Linked DNA regions of Nothobranchius furzeri. The main gene of each other region encodes a partner of the protein of the gene in region 2 in a complex. Links are inferred from orthologs where the notes say so. Each region holds a gene or a part of one and is shown on either strand. Other genes may lie near its edges.

The links.
Region 1: pola2 (region 2) and prim1 share a complex: the UniProt entries of both Homo sapiens proteins name them as parts of the alpha DNA polymerase complex. The link is inferred for Nothobranchius furzeri from reciprocal best matches to the Homo sapiens genes POLA2 and PRIM1.
Region 3: the proteins of pola2 (region 2) and pola1 are in contact, whole or in part, in a cryo-EM structure (PDB 8G99), measured with the Xenopus laevis proteins. The link is inferred for Nothobranchius furzeri from reciprocal best matches to the Homo sapiens genes POLA2 and POLA1. Residues at the interface, in XP_018112289.1 of Xenopus laevis: Met280, Tyr281, Lys282, Phe283, Met284, Phe285, Gln286, Lys287, Leu288, Met289, Ile291, Arg292, Val295, Ser296, Ile299, Glu314, Thr316, Leu320, Pro321, Gln323, Glu324, Thr325, Val326, Gln331, Gly333, Cys334, Asp335, Ser336, Asn337, Gly338; in NP_001082055.1 of Xenopus laevis: Gln548, Lys551, His553, Gln554, Asn555, Phe642, Glu645, Val646, Gln649, Asn652, Leu673, Gly675, Arg676, Phe679, Lys1137, Asp1141, Pro1143, Asp1144, Ile1321, Gln1322, His1324, Asn1325, Lys1326, Leu1328, Leu1329, Arg1332, Ile1335, Lys1336, Tyr1338, Tyr1339.
Region 4: pola2 (region 2) and prim2 share a complex: the UniProt entries of both Homo sapiens proteins name them as parts of the alpha DNA polymerase complex. The link is inferred for Nothobranchius furzeri from reciprocal best matches to the Homo sapiens genes POLA2 and PRIM2.

The regions. Positions count from the first base shown.
Region 1 is NC_091755.1:56,471,368-56,477,457, reverse strand, and holds the start of prim1 (DNA primase small subunit), read right to left. Parts: upstream 3,836-6,090; 5' UTR 3,713-3,835; coding exon 3,604-3,712; intron 3,046-3,603; coding exon 2,888-3,045; intron 2,814-2,887; coding exon 2,707-2,813; intron 2,626-2,706; coding exon 2,552-2,625; intron 2,476-2,551; coding exon 2,339-2,475; intron 1,372-2,338; coding exon 1,313-1,371; intron 1,238-1,312; coding exon 1,128-1,237; intron 1,016-1,127; coding exon 924-1,015; intron 1-923. UniProt on the Homo sapiens protein: Catalytic subunit of the DNA primase complex and component of the DNA polymerase alpha complex (also known as the alpha DNA polymerase-primase complex - primosome/replisome) which play an essential role in the initiation of DNA synthesis.
Region 2 is NC_091741.1:88,849,482-88,855,557, forward strand, and holds the start of pola2 (DNA polymerase alpha subunit B), read right to left. Parts: upstream 3,378-6,076; 5' UTR 3,088-3,377; intron 722-3,087; 5' UTR 566-721; intron 263-565; 5' UTR 141-262; intron 1-140. Other genes in the region: top6bl (type 2 DNA topoisomerase 6 subunit B-like), read right to left, coding at 4,798-5,017, 5,107-5,178, 5,546-5,601, 5,679-5,762, 5,939-6,051. UniProt on the Homo sapiens protein: Accessory subunit of the DNA polymerase alpha complex (also known as the alpha DNA polymerase-primase complex) which plays an essential role in the initiation of DNA synthesis.
Region 3 is NC_091747.1:54,885,832-54,891,243, reverse strand, and holds part of pola1 (DNA polymerase alpha catalytic subunit), read left to right. Parts: coding exon 1-125; intron 126-234; coding exon 235-395; intron 396-485; coding exon 486-598; intron 599-1,047; coding exon 1,048-1,161; intron 1,162-1,244; coding exon 1,245-1,319; intron 1,320-1,427; coding exon 1,428-1,566; intron 1,567-1,650; coding exon 1,651-1,805; intron 1,806-1,882; coding exon 1,883-1,967; intron 1,968-2,090; coding exon 2,091-2,152; intron 2,153-2,326; coding exon 2,327-2,416; intron 2,417-2,519; coding exon 2,520-2,636; intron 2,637-2,721; coding exon 2,722-2,897; intron 2,898-2,973; coding exon 2,974-3,103; intron 3,104-3,180; coding exon 3,181-3,300; intron 3,301-3,379; coding exon 3,380-3,470; intron 3,471-3,551; coding exon 3,552-3,676; intron 3,677-3,747; coding exon 3,748-3,897; intron 3,898-4,188; coding exon 4,189-4,311; intron 4,312-5,412. UniProt on the Homo sapiens protein: Catalytic subunit of the DNA polymerase alpha complex (also known as the alpha DNA polymerase-primase complex) which plays an essential role in the initiation of DNA synthesis.
Region 4 is NC_091752.1:19,571,295-19,577,363, forward strand, and holds the end of prim2 (DNA primase large subunit), read right to left. Parts: intron 1,512-6,069; coding exon 1,281-1,511; 3' UTR 1,168-1,280; downstream 1-1,167. UniProt on the Homo sapiens protein: Regulatory subunit of the DNA primase complex and component of the DNA polymerase alpha complex (also known as the alpha DNA polymerase-primase complex) which play an essential role in the initiation of DNA synthesis.

The DNA.
Region 1 (6,090 bases), on a different chromosome or scaffold from region 2:
ACAAATCAGCTGTGTTAGCGATCTAAAACATGCAGGAAATGTGCTGCTTTGAGACTAACCAGGACCAGACTGGCCGGCAACTCTGAAATAGCAAGGGGTCTGAGTGATTTTTCACCAACTCTGTAAAGCAGTTGTATTCAATTCCGTGCCTCGAGGGCCGGTATCAGCACATTTTAGTTTTAACTCTTCTTCAACACGTGATTTCAATCGCCAGGTAATTAACAGGTTTCTGCAGAGCCTGATGAGCTGAACTAAATGTGTTGGAGCAGAGAAACCACTAAAACGTGCCGGATACCGGCCCTCGAGGCACGGAATTGAATAGTCCAGCTGTAAAGGGTCATTTTAGCACATACCCACTCAAGAAAATTATTTAAAAAATGAAAAAGTTGCAAAGTATCCCTTTAATGCTCACTAATCGGTAAAATTATGAATATTACTTTTTAAATTTCATATGGTTTACAAAACTAGTTCCCATAAAATACACTTTCAAAAATTCAATGAAAACTACATTTAATTTATCAAAACTTTGACTTCAGACATATTTAAACAAATATTTACATTAGGAAGAAAAGGGATTTTGCAGCCTTGCACTTGCTGAATGTAAGGCTGCCAGCAAGCCTGAACCTGCTGACACTGGCACGCTGTGGATGCAGCACAATTTGAGAAGCATTCATCTGAACCGACTACTACAAACAACAGTTGTTGTTTTTTTAAATATAAAAACAAACAAAAAATGATCAGGAACATTATTAAGTTTTTGTTGCATTTCTGAAAGGACTTCCTTTTGTAGGAAACTTCACTAACTGGCATAATGAACTGAACTCAACGGTTAACTTTGTGAAGTGCAATGAGAGGACTCAGCGTGACCTGGTGCTATATAAATACACAGAATTTTATTTACTAGAACAACCACGAAGACCAACCTGTTTCTTTCGGGCTTGGTCTTTGATCAGTTTCCAACGAACATCTGATTTCTTCTCATTCTGGAAGTCCTGCTGTAACTCTTTTTTTACATGTACAGAACAAATTAAGGCCTCATAATTATCACTGCTTTTTAAAAATCATATCAATTCAGCTGGTTTTCATATTCAGGAAATTACTGAGCAAGCACGTTAGAGAAAGGATATCATCAGGAACTAGAGCCAGGACTTTGTCTACAGACTCTTTGCGGGCCAGTATGTCCTGATCCTGCAGCGCGTATTGAGGGAAGAAGTGCTCCACCACTGCCAAAGACTCTCTGGTGGGATTAGACACAGCTGAAGCCACAAACAGAAGCAGCAATGACAAAAACAACAGTCAAACGTATATTTACCTGATAAAGGGGTGAATTGGATCTGTCAGCACTACTTTCTTCACAGTATCTTCACCACCCTAAAAGGTTACATTTAGAAATCACATCTGGACATACAACTGTACTGTATGTTAGTCAGAAACCAATAAATAAGCAGCTTTTAGTTATGGGAGCAGCTGTTAAGTGGCTTTGAATTTGAACTTTAAAGGGGTTCTAGATAAAAGTAATTTTTTTAACGATTGGAAACTATTATTTGAGCCTTAATATATCCCATGAAACTTTGTTGGGGCTCAGGAACCCAGAAAAATTGACCAACGCACCCCAATAGCTTTATTTCTTGAAGCAAGTAAGTCTGTGACCTGTGTGTGAGTGTGTGTGTGTGTGTTACTATCAGTGCAGACAAACGAGTAAAGAAGTGAGTGTTTTCCAAAGAGAGATTCAAATGGGTTGAGGAGCAGGTTTTGCAGATAAACAAGCAGGAGAACAAGGACTGCAAGATGTGGATCGATCTGCCTATCTGTCTGTGTGTGTGTGTGTGTGTGTGTGTGGCTGTACTCTGTTAGACCAGATTGCAGGCTATGGATTAATCTAGCATTCATTCATTCACAATCTGGATACTCCCATTATATCCTGGAATGTGATTGGTGCTCCAACATTCTTCTTTGTTAAACCAAAACAATACGCAAGTGGACCAAACTGAAACGGTTCAACACCGCCCCGTGAACCATCACACCCCTAATCATGACCAATGATTAGGTTGGGACCTGCAGATTTTAGGGTGTGTGTCGTGCTAATGACGTGTTAAACCAGCTTTTCTCCAAACGAACCATTTCTCTGTGGCCGTTACAGCATTATTAATTTACATAGGAAAGCAGGTCAGCAACAGCACAGACATTTTGGTATGCTACACTAGACACCCCCAAGCTGCCTTTATCCAACAACAACAACCAGATAAATGTGGTTTTAAATTCTAGGACTGCTTAAAAGACTTAAATAATCTTGGAGTTTTGCTTTAAAATCACCTAATACCGGTAAAACCATTGCTACCTTGATCAGGCTGAGATATTCAGCCACAGCAGAGCGTGCTGCAGCAGAGAGCTTCCGGGCAGCTTCATCACACACCCAACAATGAACTCCCCTTCTGCCAGAATAAACCCACAGCAGGTGCTGAAAGCCAAAGTCCTCTGGGAGAAACATAAAAAATGTCAATCTGATTTGATTCAAAATAAACACATGCCTGACATAAGACCAGGGACACACCTCTGAGCGCTCTGTCCAAGATGCGGATAGCAATGGTCATCAGCGTCCAGCACTTGGTGCAAATGTCTGCAGCACTGGATCGAAGTTTGAAAAGGTCATTTTGGTAGATTGTCCTCCAGAACACTCTGAACAGGCTCAGAACTAGAAATAATCACCTGCAGCAGCTTCGGACATCATCATAATCTGTCATATCAATATCAAACACAAGTTCCTTCTCTAGAGCTTGGAAGCTGCCGGACTTCACCGTGTTGTGTTGATTAGGCTGTTGATGACAAACAGTGACTTTACTACACTTACACGATAGTAAACATGATTTGATCCAGAATAAAGTCTTACCCTGTGACTGTACACTGCTCCAATATCAATCTTATAAGGGTTCATCTTCTGCATTTCCTTCTCCAGCTCGTTCAGCGTGCTGAAAGACTGGTAGCGCACGTAGATGTCATCTTTGAGCGTGAAGCAGAACTCTCGGTTTTGGAAGTAGTTCTTCTGCACTGAGAATGTGGGAAAATGGACAAATAAACACTGTATGTGTTTATTTCATAAAGGCAATCAAGCAAAATCTGTCTCTTTTCTAATGAGTGACAAACTTTTGTTTAAATATCACATATAAAATAATCGCTGTAAAGTTTCATTACTAATAAAATCAACGTCTTCCAGAAAAATTTTACTTAATCTTATCTGAATTTATCAGTGCAATAAAATACGGTGACGTTTAACTACCCAGGCTTTATTGTTGTTTTTTTCAGGTCTTCATCAACTCTTGAATACTGGGAACAAGCTGCTTTCCTTAAATAAATTAGCAGCTGTCTTACTAAAGTGAATCCTTGTTTAAACGTAACATAAGTCAAACGCTCTGAAAAGCTCTGTAACAGTTGTAAATACATCTCAAATGTTACACAGGGGGAAGCAAACGTAAAATCCACAAACCCTGAAGTTCAGCATAGAAGGCTAGCTAGCCTAATTACATATATAGCTAGTTAAATCACAGAAGACAAGCTAACAGCCCGGTCTGACGCTTGCTCGTGGTTCTGGTCTGTTTGTGAAGTTACCTCCTCCGTAGGTAAGCCAGCGGTAATACTGGTAGAAGGGGAACAGTCGTCGGTAGTACAGCGGTAATAAGTCCGGCAGACAAGCGGAGTCGTAGTCTGAAGATGGCATTATAATGTAGTAAAGCCAAGCTAATGTGCAGCTAGGTATATGTTACTGCTGCTCTTCAGTCAAGCTGACAGCTTGGTTAGCTAAGGACAGCGCGGGAAAACTCGAAAGAAACAGTGATGACAAACAACTGCGACAACTACGTCACAAATAACAGGAAGTACCATGAAAACGTTTTATTTATTTTCCTAAACTAAAATAACATTACAGAGTTCAACTTGAATGGAACTCAAGGTTTTCTGTGAATAAAGTAAGACTATAAAGCGTTAAGTTTTTGGCCCTGGGTTGACTTTGGAATGGAGATGTCCAGTATATTTATGTCGATGGTAGGGTTTGCTTCTTTTGATTCGCCGGGCGGAAGTCAAAACGAGCGGGGAGGAAGTTGTATTTGTGATCAACTGAGAGGGGAAACTTCGCTAATAGAAACAGATGCAATATAAAACAATATTAACATCTCAAATAGCTTGCATGAATGTTTGACCAATGTGGCCTTTTCTATTTTTAACATTCGAGGTATTTATTGCTACTAGACTCCGCCCGCATGGAAGCGCGGCTAAAACCACCAGGAATTAAATGGTGCGAACTATGAAACCGCACCAACCTGTGATTTCAAAATAAACTTTTTGAGTCAAATTTGTGACATACGAAATTATATCTTTAGGATAAATCTGTTTTCATCACTGGTAATGCCATACTTGAATTACTGTGTGGAAGTTTGGGGAAACACATACCTGAGTAATCTACAATCACTATCCATGCTGCAAAAAATGTGTAAAGGTAAATCAAGAGCTACAAAAAACATCTACTGGATCATTATGTTGATGAGCTGGGTTAAATAGAATTATACAAGAAGTTGATTGTTGAGTATGTTTAATCTATTTGTTCTCTGTATTTTTGTTATTTTTATATAGATCCATCCATCCATTTTCTGAACCTGCTTGTCCATGCAGGGTTGCGAATGGGGGGGTGGGGGCTGGTGCCTATCTCCAGCGGTCAACGGGCAATCAGGCGGGGTATATCCTTGACAGAGAGCCAGTCCATCGCAGGGCAACACAGAGACACACAAGACAAACAATCACACACACACACACACACACACACACACACACACACACACACACACACACACACACACACACACACACACACACACACCTAGGGACAATTTAGACAGACCAATCAACCTAACAGTCGTGTTTTTGAACTGTGGGAGGAAGCTGGAGTACCTGAAGAGAACCCATGCATGCACAGGGAGAACATGCCAACTCCATGCAGAAAGTTCCCAGGCCGGGAAGCGAACCCAGGACCTTCTTGCTGCAAGGCAAAAGCTCTAACGACTGTGCCGCTGCGCAGCCTTTTTATATAGATATGTTTCATTCATTTTTCATTTATAGGCACCAGAATGCATTACCTGCACTTCTAATATTTACCTCTCAACGTAGGACTCTTTCATAAGGGTACATGCACACCGGTGGTTTTAACGGTTATTCATGGGGCAAAATCTCCGACATTTTTGAAAAAAAAAAATCCATCTGCCAGTAAAGCAAAGCATCCAACCCACCTCTCCAAATGCGTAAAATGTGCATCACAGCCGCTAGATGCGCCGCACGCACCATCAGGTAGGTCAGCCCAGACAGCAGAGCAAATAGAGAAAGAATAGAGGATAAGTCTGATGTGGATAGAGATTACATTTTACAGCAGCCTGATCATCATTTAAATACCATCACCTGTCTTCTAGTCCATGCTATCAGCGTTATTTAATTGGTGTGTGTGCGTGCGTGTGTGTGTTTTCCACTTCAAACACTGGTCTAACCAACCAGACCAGTGTGTCCAGTAACATATTAATGTTACAATTAAACCGTTACACTTCATGTAGGCTAGGAACATTTCACCTGCCGTGGCCCGACCGCTTCTGCTCCACATAAACTTTGTGCGTGATCAAATGTCTCTACAGGTGCTTTCTGAGCTGAAGAGGCTATTCTGCCTCAGACTGGATGTGTCGTGCATCTCCATATTAGAGACGGGAACAAGCACTATTCAGCCAAAGTTTCATAATCAGTGAACATTTTTCCAAGTGACACATCCCTCAGAGAGACCGGGTTTCCAGACCGTTTCAGTGGGAGGAAATCTTACCGCATCGCTGTGGTTCTGCGCTGCGAACCCCTCTACAGATCTTCAGCTCACTGTCCACCGTGTGCGCTCCGATCCGCGCTGAGCACAGTGTCCAGTATAAAGCTCTGATGTTCTGATGGGAATCTTTTCTTGATGGATTTAGTTACCTCCGCGATGTGTGTAACGATTAAAATGTCAGCTCATCAGTGTGCATCGGGGTAATTCTTTCAAAACAACCAACATCCTTGAGTTTATCTGTCAAAATAAAC
Region 2 (6,076 bases):
CTTATATAAAAAGAGTTAAACATTTGTTTCCATAAGCCCATATTGTTGTTTTGCCTCTCCAAATCCAAACATGATACGTATAATTACAACTAGATAGCTGAAATATAAAAGCAAAAACACTAATCGCGTGTTAATCTTGCCTTTTTTCTGCGATTTTGTGCTTTCAGGCAGTTGCAGAGTTCAGTCTGAACAGCTGCTGTGATGGCCTGCCTGTTGTTGCTCAGAATATCCTCCAGGTGGTGCTCTATTAACATCTCTGCAGCTAGAAGAAGAGACAGCTTCAGTGAAAATGACATTTTTGTATCCATGTTTGTTTCTTGTTGCACAGTCTCCATAGTTTAATAAAGATTCTGAGTTGAACTAAAATCAAAATCAAATCCTTTAAAGGAGAGAGATTTGGAAACAGGTGTAAAAAACTTAAAAAAACGTCAACAGCACAGCCCTTACCACTAATACTATCTGCCTTAAGAAGCCCTTATCTCTATAAATATACAATTAATGGAGCTGAACAGCCTTTCATCTGTCTGGTGTGTCATGGTTACACAATGCTGTTGTGATGTCTCACCAATAAAATCAGTGACCTCAGAGATGAAGGGGTCATCGTGCTGCAAGAAGAGGAAGAGTTGGAGGCTCTGTTGCACCGGGACGTGTGCTGATTCATGCACTGGGTCGTCCCAGTGTTCTTGTTCCACAGTGAACACAACACCACTGTGCACAAGATCTGCATGAGATACAGAAACATTTAAATAATAATGATTTTTAATATTTTACGGGACATTTAAATAAACAAACCCAAATACTGTTTGATGGAACATCCATAGGGTTTCCTACACATGTATTAACCTCTAACGCAATGGCAGACTCATCTCTGGGTTGGGCAAATTACCCATCATTTGATGTAATTGCTCTTAATCTGAGACCTGAGATTAATTGGGGGGTGTAAAGTTACGTCTCTTTTCAGACCAGACTTCAGTTTATAATGTAAGATAAATCACACAGCAGCAGTCGGGGTTCGGTTTGGAGAAACAAACACTGCGAATCGTGCAGACGTGTCAGTTTGATCGTGGTTGTGATTCACAGAAAATCTACGTAAAAATGTAGAGAAGTGAGGTCCCTGTGAATATAACCCTTCTTTGTTGTCATGTTGAAAAAACGTCCAAAATGTTTTGCATTTTTTGGAACTTGAGAGTAAGAAATAATAAACTTGGTGGAGAACATATTAGTCCCTGCAACTTACTGAAATTGTTCTTGAGTGTTTGCAGCTTCCTGCTCCCCCATGGATGTGTCAAATGCGGAGAACAAATTTCACCGCACACCAGTGTGTGTGACAACTAAAGGGACTTTAAAGATGAAATCCACATTATTTTTTGATCTGACGGCACCATCTAGTGGCTGACAAATGTATCGCACCAAGCTGTGGTTTTCACTTCCGTACTTACAGCCAAAAGCAACGCCTCCTGTTACTGAACGTGCTCTTCTAGCTGACAAAAAAATGACAAAACAGAGCTAAAACACATTGTTTACAATTATTATGTTCACATTATGTTGTGTTTTCATATATTTATATGTTAACTTGTCCAAGAGAAAGGTCACCAACTCTGCATCAACCGAGGTACGCAAATAAACGCCCGAGAACGCTATGTGATTAACGTCTGGGTAAATGGCAGCCTAATGCTATTGGTGAGTGCTGACTGGCACTCGGTTCATATAGCAATGAGCTCTAGGGGACAGGGGTGGGCTTAGCAAACCAAAAAAAAAAAAAAAACAACTAATAACCTACATTATATCACAGTAAGAAAATCACATTTATGTATTTCTAAAAAAATCATAAATAATTTAATCACACCGAAAGAGGAAAACTCCAGATTTCAGCATAATGTTTATTATTTTTTCTTTATAATTATTTAATTTAGATTATTATTACCTTTTAACCCTTATGTAAAAAATAAAAAAATAAAAAAAACCTCTTTCATTTGCGAGATAAGAACGATAGATTTAAGAGTTGTTTCTAAACTCCCACAAAATTAATTCCTGTATATTTGTTTGTATAATAAACGAGAAACCCTGTGAGGAAGTTAACAGTGAATTTATAATAATGTTCACTGGGCTGACAGGCACAACAAAGGCTAAACACATGAGTTAAATATGAGGCCAGCATGATGTAAAAACAGATATTTGTTGATAAGATTTCCTGACTGAATATATTTCTTGTTGGGTTTAAAGTGATCCTAATAAATTGCATTTAGCCTCATTATAATACACTTTTATGCGACATTCCTAACTGTATTTCCCCCTTTTCCATAAACACACTGTGTTTAATTATCTCTTAGATGATGTTTCACTGAGCCAAACCTGTTTCGGATCACCATTCCGGATGACCGTCGTTTGACATCAAGCTTTCCCACCCTTGATGTGGTTTGAAATAACTTTAATTTCCTCTGAATTGTTATTTAGCTCCACAAATGACCACAAATCTGAACTAAGAGAGCATCCGTCATGCTAAACATCATCATTCCAGCGTTTTTATGGTGGTGATGATGATGTAGATCCACTGACATTACCACAGAGCCAAAGGAAACACTGCTCCTCCCAAAACAACAGTGTCAACTGAAGGGATGTGATCACATGCTCCAGCCATGGTGGGAACTCGCTACAGATGTAACACACAAGTCTTCTGAGCCAAGACGACCATTTCAAAGGCAGTAAATTTCATGTGCTTGCTAAAAACAAGAAGAAAGCCTATCGTTCATCCTCTCCTTGTGTCTGTGTTTTAAATACTTTTCTACATTCTTTACTTTTTCCTTTTAGTTTAACTACACGCTCATGGGAATCATTTTTTTAACTGCAGCTTGAGTCCTGTACATGTTTTCTTACACATAAACATTCTGAGTGGAATCCAAACTCAGACCCAAATATGTGTTTTGATTACTTCAAAATGTGTTTTTACAAGATAGCATTAATTATCCTGAACGTCCAACTTTTCCAATTTCCACATTTTCATTAGAAGACCAAGCCCTCTAGCTACAAAGACCCACGATGCATCTGGGCCATCAGAACACGCTGTTCCCAGCAGTGGTTGTTGTTTACCTTTATATGAGGAGCAGTGGATTCTGCCCAGACCCAGCTGCTGACAGTCCAGCGCAGCAGGAAGGCTGCTGAAGAAGTGGAACGGAGCCGGCACAGGGACATTACTGGGGCTGTACACCAGCACCTGAAGACACGTCAGGTCAAGGACCAATAATTCAGATCAGGAGGATAAATCGGCTCAATCGCAGAAGAGAAGCAGCAGACCTACCGGGAGGTCTCATTAGAGATCTGCACCCTTCAGCATTAGTCTGTGTTTTTAAACTCTCATATCCTTGACTGACTAATCTGGTTGTTGGTCACTCGTGCTGAGGAAAGTAAGATGGGTGATAAATAAAGAGCTTTCCTTATATTAAAAATATTAGAGGATCAAAGAAATGGTTAAAAAAAAACCTATTTCTCCTTGAGATATTTTATTATTAATACCACAAAAAAGCCAGAATGCAACCCTGCCTCTGTGTTTAAGCCTCTATAGGTTTTTAAGTATCTCATCCATCTTATCATTTCTCTCTGGGATTATCAAAGTCATATTTTTAATCCGGTGAGCAGTTTTAACTTGCAAAAAAAGAAATTCATCAAATCTTCACCTCACAGCAAAATGATCATGCCTCCTCTGCTCTGTCCCCTCCCTGCAGCACAGTCAAGTTATGCAGATTTTACTTTACTGTCTGAAGTGTGAACCCTTTTGTTTTTAGCTTTGCTGCGACAACACCATAGACTGTACATACAACACACAAGAAAAGACAACAATCATGAGTCGTTCAATGTAGGAAGGAGTGAGCCTTCGGGTGTAATGACAATAAAGAACTATTGTATTTTAGTTTCATAATGAAAGCCTATAAAAACCTAAAGGAACAGGAGTGACTCCTCTGGTTATGGAGCCTTATGAATGATTATGATTGGCTGGAGATGCCCATAATTTTCTGTATTTTTCTAACTAAACTGATCTACTAGGTGAGTCATAACACGTTCATAAACCATTTCAAACAAAAAGTTTTTTTTAACCAGGAAGGAATTAAATTGTGTTATTTTGGAGCCGAGATGCTGTCTGGCTGTAATAATCTGGTTTTAGGGTTATGAAGTGTAACGTTTGACTAAATTTATGTTTGGCTCAAAACCGTAGGCCTTTTCTTGATTAAGGCACACCCACAAAAGAGCAGGAAGGGTGGAGCTAATCATCCACCCCTAAAACCGAGGTGCTGCATAGAACGTGTGCAGTACTCTGGCCAAAACAAGACGCAGACATATTTATCAAGACCTCACACATTGGTACAAACTAGAAAAAACAAACATCTTTATGCTTTTTTATAAGCTTGGTAATCCTATAAATGTAACAACTCCTACTTCAGTTGATCTCCGTAGATATAAATGTAAATTAGTAGCAATATAATAGAATTAAAGCAAACCCTTATTTTAATGTAAAAACAAACATTTGTCGTCTTTCTTTGAAAGTTATTTTGGTTTATGTGTGAATCAACAACCACATGACTGAATCCGAAGGGAGCTCTTCACCCTATTTCGAGCAAAGAGACACGGCCTTAGGCTGTGAGGTGTCCACTCTTGTCCCTGGTGTCCTAAGACACAGACCAGCATATGGGAAGTCCCCGCGTCATTAAAGCAGCTGAACGACAAATATAGAAAGAAAAAGAAAAGCTGAAACAGCCTCTTCTGACCTTTTCCACCACTCATTCCCACAGAGAGAGCATAACAGAGTTATGATGACATCGTGAAGAAGGATATTTGTATGTGGGTCAGCTCTGTAGGCAGGTTGGGGTACTGCAGCACGCAGGGCCTCAGGAGTGTAACAAACTGGACTCTGAGGTCCCCGAACACGCCTTGATCCATAGCTGGTGGTGGAATGCTGAGAGCCAACCTACCTCCTCTGACAGGATGTCCACCGTGACACCAGCGCTCTTTCACAGCCCATGGAGGCCTTTAAAGAAAACTACACTTAACATACTGTATGTGAAGCACGTTTCACATATTCTCAATTGAACTGATACAAAACTACAAACTACTGACTGTGCAGAACAAGTCACGTCAAAGGTCAGAGGTGGCTGGTCTCCCATGGCAACTCTACTCTTCCTCTTGACTCTGTAGGAATATGAACAGAGGAGTAACGCTACAGAAAACATAGACAAAAGTGTAAATTTTTAGTCTATGAACTAAGAAAACCATGACAACCTCCATCAGTTTTAATTTGGTCAGCTGTATGTTTCTTTAATGATAAAAAAAAAAGAAAAGAAAAGAAAGTTCTACTAGTCACTAAAAACTATGAGCTAACAGTTCAGTATGTGTTGGGTCACTTGACTAACCATGTGTAAAAGCACATTAAAGCAAAAACCAAACATTTAAGCTCTGTTAACTCCGACACAAACAGCAGCGTGTAAAACAGTTGTTATCTTGTCAGATAATCTACCAGGAAGCTCTCTGACTGCTTCCTTCATAGCCGTGGGATTACCTGAGGTCACGCTCTAAAGTCTGTTGACCCCATTTGAATTTGAGGTGTATTTTTATCTGTAAAAAGGAGAGAAAATTCAAATCAGTATATCCTTACCATCACAACACATGACTCAGTGGAAAACTTTACATACTTCTGTGTTACTCAAACCAAAGGTCTGCAGAAATTCCTCAACGTGAGCTTGCAACTTTGGTGTGCAATCTTCTGTATTTGCTACCTGCAAACAGGATACAAGTCAATCCCTGTATATGCTTATAATTAACAACCTAACAGCCAAAGTTGATATTTGAATAATTCTATACATCTACAAACCGCAATAAAGAAAATCTTTAGTTAATTTAGACTCAATCTACTTAGTTTTTTACAAAGTAGGCGCTAAAAGTAGAGCATTACCTGAAAAGTCAGCAGTAAGCCGAGTGACCCATACAGATCTGTAAAAGCGCTCAGCTCCTCAGGGTCTGGATCTGCACATGCCCGAATGCAAGTAAATAACGTTGTCCTTAAATCTGTGAAGAAAATTGCAACAAAAAT
Region 3 (5,412 bases), on a different chromosome or scaffold from region 2:
GAACCGATGGAGGTCGATCTTGAGCAGGAGAAGAAACCTGTAGTTGAAGAAGAAGCTGAGCCTGAACCCAAAGCAGCAGCAGCAGCAGCAGCAGCTAAAGTGGAGCCTCAGGATCCCGTTCTCATGTGAGTTTTTATTTTCATCCTTATTGGCAGATGTGTTTATTTGAGTTTGTCAGATAAGTTTGTAAAATGTTTGATTCAGACAGATTCAAGCATCGTTTTGATTTTGTAGGTCCAACAGAGTTGGAGTCTCTTGGGGTCAAGAGGAGAGTTCAGCTCCTGTGGAGGTGCAGGTGGACTCCAGCCAGCTCCCCATGGTGGAGGGCTCCGACGGGGAGCAGGTCTTCCGCTTTTACTGGTTGGATGCGTTTGAAGACCCGTACAACCAAGCAGGTGTGGCTTCATGACAGCTGCAGTTAAAACAACCCCTGTTGTAGTTTAACGCTCTAATCAGGTGCGTGTTTGGCCTAAACTCTGTTCCAGGTGTGGTGTACCTGTTTGGGAAAGTCTGGATCGAGTCGGCAAAGAGTCACGTCAGCTGCTGCGTCACTGTCAAGAACATCGAACGCATCATGTACCTTCTGCCTCGTGAATTTGTGAGTGCCGTTCTCTCAGACCGTAGAGAAACCAGATCCACGGCATCTGTCTGTTTTGTGGTAACCCTAACCCAAATAACCAGTATTCGTATAGCGCCTTCTTAGGGTTCCACAACCCCCCAAGGCGCTTCACAACACAATCAGTCATTCACACAGTTACACGCTGGTGGGGGATGAGCTACGTTGTAGCCACAGCTAGCCTGGGGCACGCTGACAAGAGGCGAGGCTGCCGATCACAAGTGCCACCATTTTTACTGTAGAGGGCTAGAGGCTAACATTGAGCTAACAATGCTAACTAGCTACTTTTTTCATTTACCAGCGACTTGATATTACAGTGAAATGTATATCTACTCATCGGCGAGCTAGTTTGTTTATAAACATGGGCTGCAGTACCCACGTTTCACCACAAGATGTCATTCTTACCTCATGCTCCATTAATCAAACTACAGAAAACGGACCCAAAGAGCGGAAAGGTGTCGGACACGCCTGTAGGGATGATGGAGGTCTACCAGGAGTTCAGTGAGCTCTTAGAGAAGTTTAAGATCATGAAGTTCAAGTCCAAGGTCAGAGGTCGTTTCATTTACAGACGATGAGAGAAGAAAAAATGGCGTCGTGTTTTGATCTGATGTGTTGTTTATTTTTTCAGCCGGTGCAGAAAAACTACGCCTTTGAAATTCCTGATGTGCCCAGTCAGTGTGATTACCTGGAGATCAGATACTCTGTGAGCGCGCACACACACACACACACACACACACACACACACACACACACACACACACACACACACACACACACACACTAATATCTTTTATATTTTGTGTTTTTCCAGGCTGAACACCCCGCTCTGCCCCCTGACCTCAAGGGGGCGACATTCTCCCACATTTTCGGGACAAACACTTCCAGCCTGGAGCATTTTCTTCTCAGCAGGAAGATCAAAGGCCCTTGCTGGTTGGACATCAAAACACCACGTAAGCCAAAATGTAAAGATATTTAGTTTTTCCTCTCCGATGCAGAGTCTTCCTAATCCAGCACCTCCACCCCGTTTGCATTAGAGCTGACGAGCCAGCCGGCCAGCTGGTGTAAGGTGGAGGCCCTCGCTCTGAGGAGTGATTTAGTCTCTGTGATCAAAGACCTGCCGCCTCCGCCTCTCACCGTCATGTCCATCAGCCTGAAGACGGTTCAGAACCCCAGAACGCACCACAACGAGGTCAGAACGCCACGGCGGACGCGTAATTTTCTCGTTTGGTTTGAATGTTGTCGCTCACGCACCCTAACCCTCCGCAGATCGTGTCTTTAGCTGCACTCATTCATTATCAGTTCCACATGGATAAAGCTCCTCCTCAGCCTCCGCATCAGACTCATTTCTGTGGTGAGTCATTAGAATTGTCATTTTTATGCTATAAAGGGGGAAATCTTGGTTATTATTGATGTGCTTTTCAAAATAAGATGTGCAGTGAACTCATTAATGTCTAAATAAAACCTGTTCCCTCAGTGATCAGTAAACCAGCTGACTGCATCTTTCCCTACGACTTTAACGAGGCAGTAAGGAAGAAGGTGAGACGTCCTAGTTTGTCTGTTTGAGACAAAGTAAATGCAAAATGAGCTTCGATTGGCTGATTAGGTGCACAGATTTGTTCCAGTCGTGCACCTCTGTCTAGTTTTTGTTGTTAAAGATGAGTAAAGAAACGGCAAAAGTTGATTTATGTTTTTGTGCCTCCTCTCTGCTAGAACGGGAAGGTGGAGATAGCGGGAACAGAGCGAGCTCTGCTCGGCTTCTTCCTCGCCAAGATGCATAAGATCGACCCTGATGTGCTGGTGGTGAGTCAGAAACACTCCGGATGAAACCAGAAGCCGGAAAGCTGAGATTCTCCTGTTTAAAAATCACATTTAACCCTTTTTGTTGGTTTTTTTTCTCTTGTAGGGTCATGACATCTTTGGATTTGACTTGGAGGTTCTGTTGCAGAGGATCAACATGTGCAAGGTTCCCCACTGGTCCAAAATCGGCCGTCTCCGGAGGGCCAATATGCCCAAATTAGGGGTGAGGACGTAAACAAACGTCATCGGGACTAGAAAAGTGTTTTTCCGCTCACGCAGCAGCTAGCTAGACTGTTTTTTGTTTGCAGGGTCGTGGCGCCTTTGCAGAGAAGAGTGCGACCTGCGGCCGTCTGGTGTGCGACGTGGAGATCTCAGCCAAAGAGCTGATTCGCTGTAAGAGCTACCACCTGACTGAGCTCGCGGCGCAGGTGCTGAAGGTGGAGAGGTCCACGGTCCCCCAGGAGGCCATCAGGAACCTCTACAGGTGAGTAAAGCTTATTGGATCAAAGTGATAAAAAAGACCTTTACCCGTGTGGATCATAGATCTGTGTGTCATTCAGCGACTCTCCCCACCTGCTGTACCTGTTGGAGTTGACGTGGACCGACGCCAAGCTGATCCTGCAGATCATGTGTGAGCTCAACGTGCTTCCTCTCGCCCTGCAGATCACCAACATCGCCGGAAACGTCATGGTAACCACAAAGTCCCGCTTCTGCTGCCCTCAGCAGCTGTCTCCGTCTCTGACTTCCTTTCCACGGTCTCTTTTCAGTCTCGTACTCTGATGGGCGGCCGCTCGGAGAGGAACGAGTTCCTGCTGCTTCACGCGTTCCACGACAAAAACTACATCGTCCCCGACAAGCCGTCCTTCAGAAAAGCTCAGCTGGAGACTGTGAGGGTGCTGCAACAAACAGGCAAACTTTGTTTTAGCTTCTTCCGTTAATCGTTGTTTGCTGTTGTCTGTCTTCCAGGCTGAGGGGGACGATGATGCGGATGCAGGAAAAGGAAAGAGGAAGAAGAAGGCGGCTTACGCCGGCGGTCTGGTCCTGGATCCTAAAGTTGGTGAGGCCCATTTGTCTGTGAAATGTTTCACTTCTTCATGACCCGTTTTCACTTTAAACCTTCCTTCTCCTGTCTCCGTAGGGTTCTACGATAAGTTTGTGTTGCTGCTGGACTTCAACAGCTTGTACCCCTCCATCATCCAGGAGTTCAACATCTGCTTCACCACCGTGCAGCGAGAGGCTCTCGGCTCCCGCAGGAAGAATGAGGTACGCGGGACCCAACCTACGGCTAATGCACCTGGGCTTTTAGAGGCTAACCCTAGTATCCATGGTTATAGGAGGACGATCCAGAGGAGATTCCTGAGGTTCCAGATCCCGACCTGGAAATGGGAATTCTGCCCAGAGAGATCAGGAAGCTGGTGGAACGACGTAAGCAGGTGAAGCAGCTGATGAGACAGCAGGACGTCAATACGGATCTCTACATGCAGGTACACACACACACACACACACACACACACACACACACACACACACACACACACACACACACACACACACACACACACACACACACACACACACACACACATGTTTTTAGGGGGTTGTGTGGACTACGTCTTCTGAGATTTTTGTGTGGACCCTACATGCAGGAGCAGGTACACACACACACACACACACACACACACACACACACACACACACACACACACACACACACACACACACACACAGTTCATTCCTCCAAGAGATGCAAAAGTAAAGGATTCTCGTTTTCTCAGTATGACATCCGTCAGAAGGCCCTGAAGCTAACGGCTAACAGCATGTACGGCTGTCTGGGGTTCAGCTACAGCCGCTTCTACGCCAAACCGCTCGCTGCTCTGGTCACACACAAAGGCAGAGAGGTAGGTGGAGATGTGTATCGACTCATTTGACAGGGACACATGCAGTGTTGTAGGTCCCTAGGGATGTAAGGAAATATTGATGATGCAATATATCGCAATATTTTCTTCTGCAGTACTGTATTGATTTTCAAAAGCCGTGTATCGAATTTTTGGAAGAACTTACACATTTACATTTGTGTATTTTCTTTTCTTTTGGTGCAATTTAAATGCCGACCGCTAGTTGGCAGCAGAGTGCAATGGGTTTTGTTTTCACTGTGAAATGTAATGTAAATCCCTCTGTTATGGTTCAGATACCCCATGTTAAACATGTTATGCATCCGTTTGTACTCTTTATTAAATCACTAATATCGTCTGGCTGAATGTATCGCAGTATATCCTATCATCTCCCCTGTATCGTGATAAGTATCGTATCGCCAGAATTTCACCAATACACATCCCTATAGGTCCCGCCTGATGGTAACATCCATGATTGGAGGGGAAGGTTCGCAGTGGCATCAAAGCCTGTTTTAAACTAAATTCTACGCTCCATTAATAAGCTGTTCACCTACACGAACGTAAAATAATAAGTTACATAAAATACACAAGTGAACAATAAAAACTAGGGCCGGGACTTTAACGCATTAATTATGATTAATTAGAATAAAATTAACGCATTTAATCACAGCTTGCATTTCGAGCGAGGTGGAACCTTTGTCATTGCACAATTTCCTCGTAGACCGAATATCACTGACGCACACAACAATGCACAGTGCTAATGGCTACTGAAACGGAATAAAAACAGAAAGAAGTTGCCTTGCTTGGACTGATGCAGGATTTAGGAAACCCGTCCGCCTCTTTTCTTAACTTGGGGGAAAAAAAACTTCCTGACAACAACGGAGTCCGTGTCACGGACATTTTTTAGAGATCGTCTCTGCTGCAGCTGCCTGGTGGCACCGGAAACTTTACAAAAGTTGCGGTAAGCTGTATTTTAAACATTTACGTAACATCTGTGCAGCGCTGAAAGCACCAGACAGAATAATTCTGTGCCCTAACAGTAGTTTATGAAAGTAATCAGACAAACGAGAGGCACCTGGCTGCCGCTGGGAGAACGCTCCGTGTTCT
Region 4 (6,069 bases), on a different chromosome or scaffold from region 2:
TTTTAAAATTTTTCCAACTGTCTGAATGGGAGGTCCAAATTTGGGGGGCTCTTTAGTTGATTTTTCCCACTCGGAAGTCACAGTTTCTGAGTTTCCAACGACAAAAAGCTGTCCCCACCCTGGGTTAAGACGGGCGAGCCTATGAATGTTTTAGTGACAGTGTGATGTAAATCTGTCAGGCTTTTCAAATCCTAGCTAATGCAGGAGACAGGTGTAGACCATCTTCATGTTTAGCCTGCATGAAAAACTCAAGTGACAAAATTATATTCAGAAATAATCATTAAACTTTTTTTTTTCAGTGTTTCACACCTTTAAACCAGTGTCACCACCTACCATGTGTCATTTTGTAGATTTCAGAAGGAAAACACAAACCTGCACACAGATGATGCTCAAAATATGCAAGCAGGTTGATGAATAATGATTGTAGGAACCACCTGAAGAAGATAAACAGTCTCAGAATGAGGCCAGCTGTGTCAAACGTAGTCATGCTCTACCAGATATTAGACATCAAGAGTCTCTTGCTGACAGCAACCTGCCTGACTCCAAACTGTTATCCAGTCACCTTATTATACTGAATAAATCCTCCACGTCAAGCACCGGTCATGGATTTAATTCTAGATATGTGCAGCTCTAATGCCCCAATGTTGGTTCAAACAGCAGCAACAATACATTTCATTTATTCATCAAAATTTTATTTCTAAGAAAAAAAGGATCAACTTTACAGATCTACTAAAAATCCTGTATTAGCTCTTGCTGCAGCAGCATCACAGCAGTATAAAGGCTTTTCTACTTTTAGACAGCCATCATTTATTTTTCTCCTGCAAATTATTAAGCAGACAAGCTCAAGAGAGGAGGGAGGGAGTATCTCTTGACCACGCATGCTTTGAATAAATTGCCCTGCGCACCATGAGGCAATATTCCAAGGCAGAGTAATACAACTGTGGAAATAGTTTATTTTTTCATCCATCCTCCTGTCGCCATTCATCCACACTGCTGCCAGCAAATACAATGACACTGTTTCTGAGACGGCAGGGGAATTCTCAACTCAATAACACCCCCACACAAGCCATCCCACCCCCATTAAAAAATCCCTGCCAAGACTGAGGACAGGCCACCAGAGTTCACACAGCAAAGGAACAAAACAAAGTGTTATTTTAAGGACGCTGGTGAGATGAATATTAATGACTTTATTCCAACATGTCGCCAACAGTTTTCATCTAATTTTGCCGATTTCTAAACATGCACAAACTCTGGTACATTTATATATTTAAACAAAAACATCAGACGTCTTCAAAGAAAGCGTTCAGGTCTTTCGTCATCTCAGCTTCATGCTCGGAGTCTGCTGCCTCCTGAGCTGCCGAGAACCCTCTGCTGGAAGAGTTTTCCTGCGACCTCTGTGAAGCATCCACCTCTCGCTTCAGCTCCTTTCCCCCTCCTCCTCCACCCAGAAGCTTCTGGCTTTCTGAGAAGTACTGGTTGGGGTGACTGAGCGAGAAAGGCGTGTCCTCCACCTGCACAGAGAAATGAGAAAGGTCAAAAGAGGATAATAACGGCGGGTTGTCAGAGAGGTGGCATGTTGATTGACTGATTCGTCGTAATGTCACCTTTCATAAAACCATCATTAAACATCACCCTCATTGCTGACGATGAAAAACGGTTTAGTGATTACTTCAGGCTCAGACTGTCACAGCCGCATTAGAAAGGCTAAGTCATCATATATCTAAAAGCCCAAGAGAGGAAATCATCGCTCAGAAAATAAAAATGGAACTCAGTTATCACCAATAAAAGTGTGTCAGGGTGTCAGCTTAGAGCAGCAATCCAGTTTTCCTACTTTAAGGAATTATGTATGGTCTTTTAGAGATCCATAAAGCCTGAGGGATATTGTGATATGCCATTCACAGCGCTCTATTGGTTTGGTGGGCCAATCACAGCGCTCTATTGGTTTGATGGGCCAATCACAGCACTCTATTAGTTTAGTGGACAAATCACAGCGCTCTATTGGTTTGGTGGACCAATAGGAGCATTCTATCAGTTTGGTGGACCAATGACAGCACTCTATTGGTTTGATGAGCCAATCACAGTGCTCTATTAGTTTGGGGTGGTGCAGTGGCATCAGCTGGCATATGCTGGATGATGCCCGCACTGCCCACTCACCACAGCCATGGAATACACCTCATGATCACACAACACTATATTGGAGCAGGCGGAGGGAGACTAGGGGTCTTAGCCACCTCTGTTGTTGCTTGGCTTCCTGGGGCTGGAGGCTAGGAGGGAGATCTGGCCGTCTGGTTGGGGTCTGGGGTGGTGGGTTGCTGTGCTCAGCGTTGGGCGGGGGAGCCTGCTCATCAGCACCCCAGCAGAAAGGGTCAAACTCTGGTTACCGGTGATGGTTGTACCCAATGTGCAGCAGTACCGGGACCAGAGTGAATAGGGTGTGTATGGGGAGCATGAGTGGGTGTCCGGCGTGCATTTTTGTAAGTCTTGGGTTGTATGTGCATGTGTGAGCATGAGGGAGGGAGCGTGTGACTGTGTTTGTGTATGACTGTATATGTCAGGTGGGGCCTTTGGGTCCTCCCCTCTCCTGGAACTTCTCTTGATGATATAGATCTCTGTCCCCCCTCCCCCTGCCACACCTGGTGTGGTGGCTTGTGCCTTGGTCTGCCTGAGTGTTCGTGGCAACCGGGTCTGGGGGTTTAAGATTTTGGCATCTGCCTGTTAGATCCCGGTGGCTGCCTGGTGGGGTCTGGGTCCCTGGGCCTGCTGGGTCCCCGGCGGGGGTGGTCGCCCCTGGGTCCCGGGTCGCTGGGTCCCGGGCTCGGCCGGCTAGGGGGTGGGAGGCTGCGGGCGGGCCTGTGGGCTTGCCGCTGATGTCTCCCGGGACTCTGCCGGCTGCTGGTTGTGGCCCCCCGGGGCGATCCTCTGTGCCTCTCGAGGGGGGCGGGGGCCTTCCTGGTTGCAGTCTCCTTGGGGTTCCTGCGTTCTGGGGCAGCGCCTGGATCTCTGGGACTTGGAGCTCCCCCCGTCTCCTGCGCATCTTTGGGGGGCGGATCTGTGGTCCCTCACACTCTCTGTTGGACGCTCCTATAGATAAACCTTCAATAAACAAGCGCGTGTACACACACAGGTGCTCACATGGTGCTCTCAAAAGTATGGGCTTGGGCACGTTAAACACAGGTCTTAAGACTATGGTGGGCACTTAATGCGTTGTGATTTATTATCGTGATTCTTCAGTTAAGCAATGTTGATTATATATATATATATATTCTTTTCATCAAGTTGACGCAGTGATAGGTTGATCTTGTTGTATTGTTGTTGTGTCCCTTTTTTTTGTGTCCCTTTGTTTTTTTTTGTCTTTTTTTCTGCAGGTCTAGAAGCAGACTCTTGTTCATTATTGTTTATTTTTGTGGAAACCCCCCCCCACCACCTTTTCTTTTCCTTTCTCTTTCACCTCTGTCTCCGTGTCTGGTCGGAATTACAAAGCATTCAACAACAATAACAATAAAGTTTTAAGTATCAGGCATGACATTAAAAGCAAACGCTTTGATGCTCCACCTGAGAATAAATCTGTAAGGCTTGTCACCAGCATTCAGACATCAATTCTGCTTGCTTCACAGCCAGACAGGACACGGTAAAAAAAAAAAAAAAAAAAAAAAAAAAAAAAAAAGGTTGGTGGGCCAATTACAGCACTCTCTTAGTTTGATGGGCGGGATGATGCAACAGAGCGAAACAACTAAGGCAGTGGGAGCTTATTTGAAACAGCTTTAGTATCGACTTTGGACTATTTAGACTTTGGCTTTTCTTTGAGTCAACAGCAAATGGAGGTACTTAAGTCTTTTATTTAGAAAAATGATGTATCTTCATCTTCTCCGACAGTGTATGGTGGATTGCCTCGTTGACTGGCATCCAGAGCGGTGAGTATGTCACATTGTTTGTTGCCCAATAGCGTGCAGAGACAGATGACCGTAGATTCCCCCATGACTGAGCTCTCTCAATGGGTTGTGGCCAGACTCAATTTTCACATATATGGGATGGCTTGCCAGGCTAGTCTTACCCTGTAGGCAATCTGTCAATTATTTTTTGATAATTTTTCTGCCACAAGAGGTGCTCTCTCAGGAAAAAAAAACTCCAGGATTCTGCTTTAAAACATAAAAAAAATTAAGTGCAAAAATGTTTTTTGTGTCACTTTTAAAATTTTTGCACCAGCAGCACAAGAATAAATTATATCAAATCAAATCAACTTTATTTGTATAGCACTTTTCATGCAAAAAATGCAACTCAAAGTGCTTCACAGATTAAAATGACCCCATAGATCCCATATTCCCATCCCAGCCCCCCTCCCCAAGTATAAAACAATTGACAATTACGGTTCCCCTCCCGCACCCAACTTCCACTTCCAAGGTGAACATACAATCACCCAGACACTCGAACACGCACACACACACACGAACAACAGAGTAAACAATAGGCTGACTTCAGATGGGTCAGGTAATGAACGACACATCATCAGTGGAGCCATCTGCCCTAACAGTAACAGATCCACAGCAGCAGCCAAGACACCCGCCCATGACGCCAGGGGGGGAGGGCGGAAACCCCCCCCCCCACTACCCAGGCACTACCCGAGGAGCGCCCCGGCCGCCGCCGCTGACCACCGGCCCCAAGGCAGAGGGCTCCGCAGAGGAAACACTGGAGGATTAAAATATATAACTGTAAAATAACAAAAGCTAATATGGATAGAAAGTAACTGATAAAGTGATTATAAAGATGGTAAAAGAAAACATAATCATGTAATAACACCAAGATGTAAATAAAATAATAAAATTAATTAAAAGAGATAAATAGGTATATATATAAAAAAAACAAATATGACAGGTGATACAGGTAGATAAATAGTAATCAGTTAAAAGCTAAGCTAAAAAGGTGGGTCTTGAGCCTATTCTTAAAAGCCTGGACGTTCCCTTCGGCCCTGAGGTCCTCCGGCAGCCCATTCCAAAGGCGAGGGCCGTAGTACTTGAAGGACGCCTCGCAGTGGGTGTGAGTCTTAACTTTAGGAATAATTAGGAGACGGCTGCCAGAGGAGCGCAGAGACCGCAAGGGTTTATATAGTAAAAGCATTTCTGAAAGATAAGAAGGCCCGAGACCATTAAGACACTTAAAAAAACATTAAAAGAACCTTAAAATCGATCCTAAAACATACGGGGAGCCAGTGCAGTGATTTTAAAACCGGAGTGATGTGCTCCCGCTTCCTAGTCTTCATCAGGACACGTGCTGCTGAGTTTTGTAAAAGTTGTAAACCTGAGATGCTCTTTTTGGGGAGACCAGAAAGCAGCGCATTGCAGTAATCAATTCCATTGGTTATAAAAGCATGCACTAGCGTCTCCGTATTGGCCCGAGAGAGAATGGGGCGGACTCTGGCGATATTCTTAAGATGGTAAAAACCTATTTTTGTGATGTTTTTAATGTGGGGGATAAAAGTCAGCTCAGAGTAAAAAATAACGCCCAGATTCTTCACTTGTAGTGATGGATAAAAAGGCATTGATTGTAGTTTAGGTAAAAGTTTCTCTCTCTGGGCCTCAGGACCGATGACTAAAACTTCAGTTTTGCCTTGGTTTAGCTGGAGAAAGTTTTCAGTCATCCATGATTTAATATCTAAAATGCAGTTAAAAAGTGTTTCCATTGGCTGTGCGTCATCACGGAGATGTACAACTGTGTATCGTTAGCATAACTGTGGAAATTCACCCCATTTCTCCTGATGACGCTGCCCAGAGGGAGCATTTAGAGGTTAAAAAGCACTGGGCCTAGAATTGAACCCTGAGGCACACCGCATGTGATGCTGTATATGAACTAAATAAATAACTCAACACAGTTGGAGGACAATTTTGTGTTAGTGTTTTACCTCTGCATTCTAGTAAAACACAGAGAGAAACGGAAAGATGATTGAATTTTTTAAATGCCATTTATTTTCCTACAAAGAGCTCAAAATTTCGAAATCACCGACCTCCTCAGCTGTTTGGATTAAACACTTAGAAATTCCGTGTCTGTGCAAGTTTTCCTGCAAGGCCACATGGACTC